Daphnia pulex: one gene and its partner. The protein of the gene in region 1 binds, or shares a complex with, the protein of each later gene. Links are inferred from orthologs where the notes say so. Each region holds a gene or a part of one and is shown on either strand. Other genes may lie near its edges.

Region 1 (4,615 bases):
TGCTCAAGTTTGATCAATTTTTTTTCTTCTCGTTTCTATCTTTTTTCTCTCACACACACACACACTACTATCATTCACTCTCTTGCGAAAAATAAAAAAAATCTGTGCGAATGTGCTGCGATTTTTTTCCTTGTCCCTCTCCCGATCAACTCTTTCCTTTCTAGTGTGAAAATTTGTATTTAAATCAGCTCTCAGCCGTCAACGATTACGATTTGAACAGCAAACGGATGGCTACCATCAACGACGTTTGCGAATCAATGAAACAGCAGTTGCTCTTCTTGGTCGAATGGGCCAAATACATCCCCGTTTTCAGCGAATTGCCACTGGATGATCAGGTAGACACATTTTAAAAAAAATTTCGTTTTTAGCCAATTTGATGATGTCGAATTCGAATTTCAAGGTGGCGTTATTGAGGGCCCACGCGGCAGAAAACCTCGTTTTGGGAGTTGCTCGAAGATCTATGCATTTAAGAGACATTCTTCTACTGGGCAACGATTCCATCATGCCCAGACAATCGGCTGGACTTGGAGGTTAACACTAGCTGCCTTATTGCCAAAAGATGTTGTTAATGATTCCTATTTGGCAAACATGCAGAGATCGAGATTTACCATATTGGCATTCGAATAATGGACGAGATTGTGAAACCTCTACGAGATATTCAAATGGATGATACGGAGTACACCTGCCTCAAGGCCATCGTCTTCTTCGATCCTAGTAATAAAAAAACGTCGATTGCCAACTTACTATTTGAATCTTGAGTCTGACGTGAGCCTTTGGGATGGCACCAGATGCAAAAGGTCTGGGAGAGCCGGCCAGGGTAAAAGGGATTCGCTACCAGATTCAACAGTTGCTGGAAGACTACGTGGCCGATCGACAGTACGCAAGTCGAGGTCGGTTCGGCGAGTTGCTGCTGGCCTTGCCGCCACTCCAGTCAGTTGCTTGGCAAATGATTGAGCAGATCCAGCAAGCCAGATACTTTGGAGTGACCCGCATCGATTCTCTGCTACAGGAAATGCTTCTAGGAGGTATTAATAGAATTTGAAAAAAAAAAACAGTTATTTGAATTGGTTAACGATCGATTAAACACACAATCTTACCAACATTTGAAGGAGCTTCACTTGAATCGGTTGGTAATGCAAACAATTCTGCCCCTTCGTCCGGGTACAATCCGCCCGTTGTGGTCCCATCTGCACTGACCGCAATGGCTCCACTTTCAGCAGATTCGTCTCCCACACACTCAACGGGTCCATCTCTTACAACTCTTCCTCTCCTGAATGGGCAAAACGGATTAGGTGGGCATCAGTCCATGATGATGGACCGTGGACCACCGCTGACCATGTCTCCAGACTCTGAGGATGACGCCTTTCCCTTGGGAGGATTGTCCAATCACCACCACCAGCCTTTCAAACAAGAGGTGACGGAAGGAATGGACAATGCGTACACATAGATACTTGACCGTTCCCGAATTTTACAAAAAGAAAGAAAAATGATAAAAAAAGAGAAAAAAAGGGTTTTGTTTTGTTAAGTTAAAGTTTTAAGAGATAATCTATTCGATTTGAGAATTGCGCGGCAAATATTTTCCAAAGATGAGTAGCACAATTACTATAACAGGGACTCAACATATCCATCGTGTTGCTACCATCAGGGGTTTTTTTTCCATTCAAATGTGCGTCATTTCTATTAAAAACAAACGAGTTAATTGCTTCTGATTGACTGTGTCGAACTTCATAGTTGCTCAATATAATTGTTAATTAGATAGGGGCCAAATACATCTGACAAACTGGTAATTGAATCTTAAACAGTCACTTCTGCAAATTTTCTCTTTCTGTGACTGGCTACTAGAGTAGCTGTGTTGATCTTGCTGGATTCTCTTCGGACCCATTCCTATTGAAGCAAAAGTGATTACAAAAACAATAGAGAAATGATGCATCAAAATCTATATTAATGAATACCTTGTAGCTTCTGTAACTCAACTGACCCACTCCAAACAACTTTCTTTCTAATTCATCCAAGTTTGCAATTATGTGTACTGTTTCGTGGTGTGTGGAATGTTGAGACATGTCCATAATTTGTCTCAAACGGTTACGAAGGGTCTGCACACAAAAATTTGTAGTAGTTAGAGAAAGTTATATGCAAACAGAATTTGGGTAATCAACCTCAACCAGGCTCCTCTTGATATCAAGAGAATCCTTTAATTCAAGATTTGCCACATGAAGTCCCAGATCATAGAAATAGGGTCCCCATTTGTGGAGGTCAACAACTATACTGTCTGCCTGGAGGATCTGTCTATAGAATTTGGAAGTGAAATTGGATTTAATCCAGAAAACGAAACTTTGTCAAGATATTTAACTACCTGTAATTGACTTTGTAGTGCCTTGGAATTTCAAGTGTTACAATTTTTTTGGCATGAAGGGTGGGTACCATCCAGAACGGCAATTCTACTTTGCTTCCTTGTTTGAGGTTTTCATCGTCAGCCGACTGATCAAGCATACCTGAATTGGAAGAAAAGGAGATATAACTTTGTAATCAGCTTAATTACATGATTAACTATTTAAAAACCAATAAACTTAAAATCTAATAAACAAGCTATTGTTTACCTAACTTGGGAACAGCCACTTCGAATTTGCAAGACACCCTGACATCTTGAAGCACAATGTCTTCTATAGAAAAATAGTTTGGACTATAGCTAAAATGCAAGTGAGGCATTATAAAAGTCGTCAAGAGTTGATTACAAGTCAAAATTAGAATGAAAAGAAAATTGTAAAGACAAGATTAGAATTCAATGTTGTTTGATCGTCACAACGAGATGTCAGCAGTCGTTTTCCCGCTCTGCACCGCGTTGCCACATCATCCACAGTCAACATTTTCTTTTTTCTTTTGGGAAGACGCCCAAAATGGTCGACTCTATGCCACAAATTGCTTGACGGTTTTGGTTAAAGTTATTTCCCCCGAAAAACCTCATCGTAAAAAAGGGTCTACGTGTGACGGCGAGCTGAGTCACGCGTTCAGCCGTTCACCTGGCTCGTAATTACTTGAGAGAAATGATGTATTTGCGAGTTATTGCGCCAAGGATTCCGAGACAGGTAATCTCTTGTCGAAAACTAGGAGCCGCCATATTTTCGAGCTTCGACTTGTCCAACAAACAGAAGCAGCTTGTGCTTGTGCTGTCTGTTAGCCGAGCCAAGTGATTGCGTCGTCGGAAGACAGAAATAAACCTGGAGCCCTTCCCTTGGGTTTCCTCCACCGCGCCAGCAGCAGCAGCAGCAGAGTCAACTCTGCTCGAATAGAAATATCGTCTCGAAAAGATATTTCGGCCAATCGTCGCTCCCTTGACGTGATTGGTACGCAGACACCCACTCTCGATTCGTTTCTTCTTCTCCGGAACTATTCCCGCTATTATCTCTATTCACTTTGATATTTAATTTACATAAACTCGCGAGTTCATTTTTCACACAATTTGGTGTGATTGAATGAATTCTATTAGCTATTCATTCCGTGATGGTGTCGGAGGTTTTTCTTTTTTTCTGACTTGCTTAATGGGCGTAAAACCGTGAGAAACCCCATGGAAAAGTTCTTTTTCAATTCAAGTACAACCGGAAGAAGCTATGGAATCGTCTTTCCGTTTAAAAAATAAATAAATGGAGAAAAAACCACAAAATTTGTCTCATGTTTTTTTACTTTTCCTTAAAAAAAAAAAATAACTTTTTTTTTCCCTTAAAGTCTGTCGTCATCAGTGCGCGTCTTGACGATCAGCTAAGGAAAATCTATTTTCAAAGCTGTTGGCTCTGTTTCTTTAAAAAAAAAGGGGCGAGGGGAGAGAGCAATGGTAAAAAAGAAAATGGTTGCAGCTTTTTTTATTTGATAAATATAGAACCGTTTCTCTTGTTACACGAGTAAACAACGAGCTCCCCCACCCACACAAGACGGGGGCCACTCCTTGTTTTTTAATCTTTTTCGACTCGCGTGTGTACCTCATTAAGATGTTTGCACTTTTGTTTTATCGATGGCTTCATTAAACCAAGCGAGCACATTTTTTCCATTATTTCGGGAGCCAAATGATATTGGGGCCAGAAGAAGAAGAAGAACGACAAGAACGCGGTTGCACGTAGGCAAAAATTATTTTGATGTATTTTTTTTTCCGTCTACCAATCAGGTTAGGTGGCGGTCACCACCACATCACAGTAAGGGCATAGCGGACAACAACTTGTACAACAATCCCTCCTCCCCCCATCTCTCTACACGATTTTTTACTTGCAAAAGAAAAAAGGAAAAACTTTTTTATTTTTTAAAAAAAGGAGGGAAACATGAATGAATTGATTTTTGTTTGAATTTCATTTGTTTTTAAATCGGGGCGTTCGTCTCCCGCACCAATTGCGTGATTTACTTACACAACACACAGGTAATCGTCTTGTTTGTACAAGGCACCACACAGCAACACTCATCCGCGCCAAGACTTTTTATAGGGGGGAACTCCCTTGTGTTAGTGGGGGGGCTGATTATTTAAAAAACGAAAGAGATCAAAGATGATAAGAGAAGAGGTGAGGAGGAAAAAAGGATGGAAGGGAGGAGTCGACAAGTTTTGTTTTTCGTTGTGTTGGCATCATGCAAAAAGAAT
Region 2 (5,623 bases), on another chromosome or scaffold:
CATACACTAATTTCTAGTAATTTTAATGCAAGACCATTTATTGGGGAAAAAAGCGTGTAGACACGAATAGTAAAATCATTGTTGCCTTCAATCTGGCACCTTCAGTGCATCGCCAGTTTAAATACTTAAAGCACGATAACTCGTCAAACTATTAATGACATATTCTGATGGAAGAACGGCCAGCAACGACTACAACTCCATCATCCTGCAAATCTTTCAACGCATCTTCGAACATGTCTCTGGTGATCATCTGTAAAAGAGCCACAAGCAATTATAATTATCCTTGAAATACACGCAAGCTTAACTTACCACAGCAGATCCTGCTTTGAATTCATTAAAGGCTTTTTGATAGTTTAATGAACTGGTTTTGCCTTTTGATTCTATCATCTTACGGAGTGCAGCAGCCACTTCTCCGCGTTTCTTCCGAGCCATTGAGCTTAACCCAGTTGTAAGAATGTTGACATCAATTTTGCCTGACATGGGGTCGGTGGCAGATTGCTTCAGCGCCTCACGATGTAAGCTTTATAGGGGGAAAACTAAGTTAAGTATTCTTCCATATGAAATACCATATATAAATTGTTACCGATAAGCCTCTTCGACATCATAAACTTCGACGACTTCTGAATAACGAACTTTAGCGTGAGCTTCCGAAAGACGAATAAGTGACTCCAGTTGTCGAGGGTATGCAGACACCTGACCACGACCGCTTCCAATTCGTCGCATTTCAACATAGGCCTCTACCAGACGAACGGTGGCTGCGTCATTCAACATCGGATTAACATGCTCTTTACCATAAGCCATATAATCGCGTAAGACATCGAGTTCCTAAAGGTTGCGTAAATTTAATAATAGATTTGATCGTAAATATCGAAGAAATGGCAACATACCATGAAATCCGTTTCATTTTCTTCAGCTACACTGTAATACAAAGAAACTAAATGACGAGCAAGGCGTTTGTCATAAAGTTCGTCTTGAGGATCCAACATCAAAAAAATCAAGTCGAACCTTGTTTTAACCAATAAAATTTTATGATGACAATGAAATGGTATATCCAGATGAATGGTACTACCTTGACAATAATGTATGAGGCAGTTCAATGTTCTCGATGATGGTTTTGTCTTTGTTCCACTGAGATTCGATTGGATTTGCTCCGGCCAAGATCGATGTACGAGCATTTAGCTGACAGATGATACCAGCTTTAGCAATGCTCAACGTTTGTTGTTCCATTACCTATACAAATATATATAAATTAACGCTGAATCCACTAATAACTAGAATGAACTTTATACTTCATGAAGAATGCTGCGAGTGGCGTCGGACATTTTATCGAATTCGTCAATGCAACAGATACCATTATCTGCCAGAACGAGAGCACCAGTTTGAAGGACAAGCTGCTTGGTTTCAGGGTCTTTTGTCACATACGCAGTGAGACCAACAGCCGAACTTCCTTTGCCAGAGGTATATTGTGATCGTGGGACCAAATTAAAGATGTACTGCAGCAACTGAGACTTGCTAGTACCAGGATCACCACAAAGAAGGATGTTTATTTCCGAGCGAAAACCTCCACGACCAACTTCCGTGAAATCTTTTTTGGTGCCACCGAAGAGTTGAAGGAGAATTCCTTTTTTGATATCTTCATTCTCGTAAATGGATGGAGCGATGGCTCGAGCCAAACGTTCATAAATATCTGGTTTCTTGGAAAGTTCGTGAAGTAATGCTTCGCGTTCAGCAGAAAAACGCGTTTCTTTCCTAAAATGAATTAAACAATAATTATCGATAAAAGATACATGTTACACAAAATATATAAATAAATACCCTCGTTCGGTTTGATTTCGAAGGCGATGGACATCGATTTTGCGATAATGTACAACGTCAATATGAGTACGATAAACAGATTTGACATTGCTTTGAATTGGGTTTACGCGCAACGAAACAGCACGATAAATTCCGGTCACGGTAACGCGATCGCCCGGCTGAACCTTGTCCACTAAGTCATTGTGAGCAAAGACAAACACGGTGTGAGGTGTCTGACCTGCTGGCATGTCATCTATTTAATCAATAAAATTTCCGTTAAATATTTTTAAAAAATTGAAAATATTGCAAAATAGTGATCAGCAAATCTATCTCTACCTGGTGACTCTTGAAGTTTAACCATCTGACGATCGGAAAATTGTGATCTATTGTGAATGATGGAAAAGGAATGCCCTGTGTTGCACATGGCACAAAGAGTTGGTTCCAAAATTCGTCCACGATCAACTTCAACAGAAGCCGTGTTGCTACATACATTGCAGCGAAAGAATGCTTCACGCATTTCAGGAATGATATTGCTCGTGCGAATAACCATACCACTAATAGTGATTAACTGATCAATATCTAAAAGGGTAAAAATATTATAGGTTTTTTTTCTTTCTTGAACCGGTAGAACAGAAATACCTTCAGGATTTAGAGCACGCATGTTCTTGGTTTTGTCGGCACAAAAGGGCCTGACTTGAATTTGATGAGGCAGGATGACATCTGGGTATTTCTCAAAAAACATTTCATTTACAGTCATATCTAACGTCGGGATAACCTCTTGTGGATAGCAGATCAATTGACGATAAAGGTCAGCGTCAAAGGCCTTCAAGTGTGAACAATTCAGATTCAAGAATGGATCTTCCAAATCAGCAATCTAAAAGAAAGATTTTATAATAATAAAGAAATATTTTGTGGGATTAGGAATCAGTTCTTACCTGTTGCAGTTCTTGAAGGTAGTAAGGTTCATTGACATTCATGTTTTCCCCTAAATCCTCTTCATCACTTTGCAAAAATTGGTTGATGAAGCGACAGAATTTAGTTTTACATTGAGACACAACCACATCAGTTCCCCAAATGACCAACTGTGGCCCTCCTGATTCTGCTTGCTCCTTGATTGGGGTCAAATTTCCCTGCTAAAATTTGGATTAGCACATTGAAACAATAAGAACTAGTTAAAAAAGTAATACTTCATTAGCTCCCAAATTGACTTGGCGGACTTTCCTATCAGAACGAACATCAGGACGTTGATGTAGAGGGGTCCCTCTTGCCCCAGAGCGAGGAGTTCTCAAAGATGAAATTGAACTTGGAGTTCCATAATTGAGAGGAGAGTTTAAATCCAATTCACTAATAGCTGGAAATAATACAGAACTGAAGATGACCCTGTTGCTATTTTAAAATACAAGTATATTCACATACCTCCTCCAGGACTCATTCCAATATCCATATCATTATCACCATGATGAGATGGAGTGGAAGGCAAAGGAGCAACATCAGAAATATCCGACATCGCTAGATTCAATGTGAAATGTTTGAAATCGAGGTTTCAATAATCATAAATTATTTAGGTAATTTTATTACCTCCTGCAGAACGACGTCGAGATCTTGAAGTACGGCTACTAGCATGACTTTTTGCTGGACTTGCCATTTTTCATCAAGGGTAAAATCTTATTCAAATTGAAGAAAGACAATAACACGACAATGATATTTGATACACGAATCTGAACTATCGGAACGATAACGGGTCTTGGGCAGTTGGGCTTGACCGCTTGAGACTTACAGAAAACAGAGAAAGGCTTCGCGGCAAAATGTTTGGAGGAGGAGGAGTCGTACCTAAATTGTTGCCAGGTAACATCGGTTACTTTAATTTTACTACAACACTTGATAGGAACGGATATAAAACACTTAATTATAATTTTTCATTTTAAAAAACAGAATTTATAAATTTTAACAACTTTTTAAATCAATAAATGATTAAAATAATACGATTGACATATTTGCCGCCAGGTGGGCCTAAACAACATGGAGTCCAAGGTCTCAGACGTCAAAACGCCCAGCGTGATTTGTATATAAATGAATTATAAAGTGCTTTGAAGCTAAATTGATTGCTCAAAAGGTATTTATGGTGTGAAATTTCATTGTGTTTGATTCAGTTCTAATTATCTGGAATCCTAGAGATCCTACGATTGCTCATGTCATCTACGTGGTTTGTGACCTGTGCGTGCATCAAAATTCTTACCCTGAGCTGTGAAAAGTAAGGATCAAATAGCCAAAGTTATCTCTAATACAATTTGAAACAAGTGATTCAAAGGAAATTGATACAAGTAGTCACAGCTGAAAAATGTTGTATTTTGAGTATTAACACAATGTAAAAGCATCCAACTGACAGCTGTAGTGCAGTGCTATTCCATTGTTTGGCTTGTCCAGTACTTGTTAACAGTTTTCTTAGTTTATGGTTTAAGCAATTTTGGTTTATTTTTATTAAGACTTTTGAAGTTTGCAGTAAAGATTTCATGTAGAGGTGATTAAATATGATATGTGAAGTTCATTCATAGTTTAAGAATCATAGTTAGTTACCAATAATATTTATTTTATTTTTTTCAGAATACCCTTCATTGGAGAACTCATTTGGCCATCATGACTCAAGAATTTCTACCTTTGTGTGATGTGTTGTTCAACATCATTTCGATGGCGTCGTATTTTTGCGACGTCGTTTTCGATGTCATCACTGCTTACACTTTATACCAACAGCAGCAATATGTTTGGCTATCCCTAGCTGTGTTCTTCATCACCTCGTCGTTGATCGTCAGTCAATTGCTTTCGGCCAAATGGTTTCTGGAACGACATTCCTCCTGCCAACCAGCAAACGACGACGATAATGACGAGAAAGATGTCAACAGAGGATCGCTAATAGCTATGCATTTAGCTGGAATAGGTGTCTTGTGGCGCTACTCTAAACTATTCATCCCGGTGGACTTGCGAATTGTGAAACATGAAGTGCGAGACCTATGCATGCTCCGGCTGGTTCACGCTTTCATCGAGGCCGCACCAATGTTGTTGGTGCAGTTGTATTTAATATGGCTCAAGCCACAGCGAGACGACGTCGAAGACTTGAACATAGTGTCCACAGTGCTGTCGTTGGTCAGTGTGTGCTGGGCATTGGCGTCCTTCAACAAGAACGTTCGACGACAGAACGTCCACAAACTCGTGCTGACCTGGCTTGGCGTCATCTTCCAGTTCCTATGGCGGTTAGGAACCGTAACATCTCGAGCGATTGCCTTGACGGTCTACGCCACTGTCTACGGTTACTGGGTTTTCCTGGTCATAGGTTTACATTGGCTGAGCATGTTCTTCTGGCTGATATCGCCACGCAACGTCTTCCACGGCGACAAGATGTCCAAGATCAAGAAAGACGCGTATTGCGCCTTGATTGCAGTCGTCTACATCTTTTGCTACGTTAATTTGCAGCACGTCAATCCTCGTATGAAAATGGCCGCCTTTTACGTCACCATGTTTTTGGAGAACACCCTTCTGGTGGCTGTGTGGCTCATTGGCGTTCATCGTGAGGAGCCCTGGTATCACGAGCTGGCCACCGTCACCATGTTCCTCTCATTCGTCGTTGGCGTCCTTTTCTTAGGCATTTATTATCGATATTTCCACGTGAAGCGGTTAAGTTACTCATCCGCATCGTCGTACCCGACCAACAACAATCCGCCCGAGCCCTATTCTTACGTTACGCCTTCCGGTACTTACGTTGATGACGGTACTTCAAATCCGAATGGCCCATCGAAGAACGGCAGCAGTAATCCGGTTAGTTGCTCACCCGTTTCTT

Evidence for each region. Proteins that work in one complex are often made in the same cells at the same time.
Region 2: DNA replication complex GINS protein PSF3-like (region 1) and DNA replication licensing factor MCM4-like share a complex: the UniProt entries of both Homo sapiens proteins name them as parts of the CMG helicase complex. The link is inferred for Daphnia pulex from reciprocal best matches to the Homo sapiens genes GINS3 and MCM4.

The regions. Positions count from the first base shown.
Region 1 is NC_060022.1:871,934-876,548, reverse strand, and holds DNA replication complex GINS protein PSF3-like, read right to left. Parts: upstream 2,730-4,615; 5' UTR 2,707-2,729; coding exon 2,598-2,706; intron 2,493-2,597; coding exon 2,354-2,492; intron 2,287-2,353; coding exon 2,157-2,286; intron 2,094-2,156; coding exon 1,953-2,093; intron 1,885-1,952; coding exon 1,795-1,884; 3' UTR 1,527-1,794; downstream 1-1,526. Other genes in the region: hepatocyte nuclear factor 4-gamma-like, read left to right, coding at 165-335, 401-530, 595-714, 789-1,025, 1,110-1,447. UniProt on the Homo sapiens protein: Required for correct functioning of the GINS complex, a complex that plays an essential role in the initiation of DNA replication, and progression of DNA replication forks.
Region 2 is NC_060020.1:7,894,231-7,899,853, forward strand, and holds DNA replication licensing factor MCM4-like, read right to left. Parts: upstream 3,587-5,623; 5' UTR 3,440-3,586; coding exon 3,373-3,439; intron 3,304-3,372; coding exon 3,211-3,303; intron 3,146-3,210; coding exon 2,982-3,145; intron 2,928-2,981; coding exon 2,730-2,927; intron 2,669-2,729; coding exon 2,434-2,668; intron 2,374-2,433; coding exon 2,131-2,373; intron 2,048-2,130; coding exon 1,816-2,047; intron 1,750-1,815; coding exon 1,290-1,749; intron 1,231-1,289; coding exon 1,070-1,230; intron 1,006-1,069; coding exon 888-1,005; intron 826-887; coding exon 584-825; intron 521-583; coding exon 310-520; intron 309-309; exon of another isoform or gene 251-308; coding exon 152-250; 3' UTR 18-151; downstream 1-17. Other genes in the region: uncharacterized protein LOC124192073, read left to right, coding at 4,429-5,601. UniProt on the Homo sapiens protein: Acts as a component of the MCM2-7 complex (MCM complex) which is the replicative helicase essential for 'once per cell cycle' DNA replication initiation and elongation in eukaryotic cells.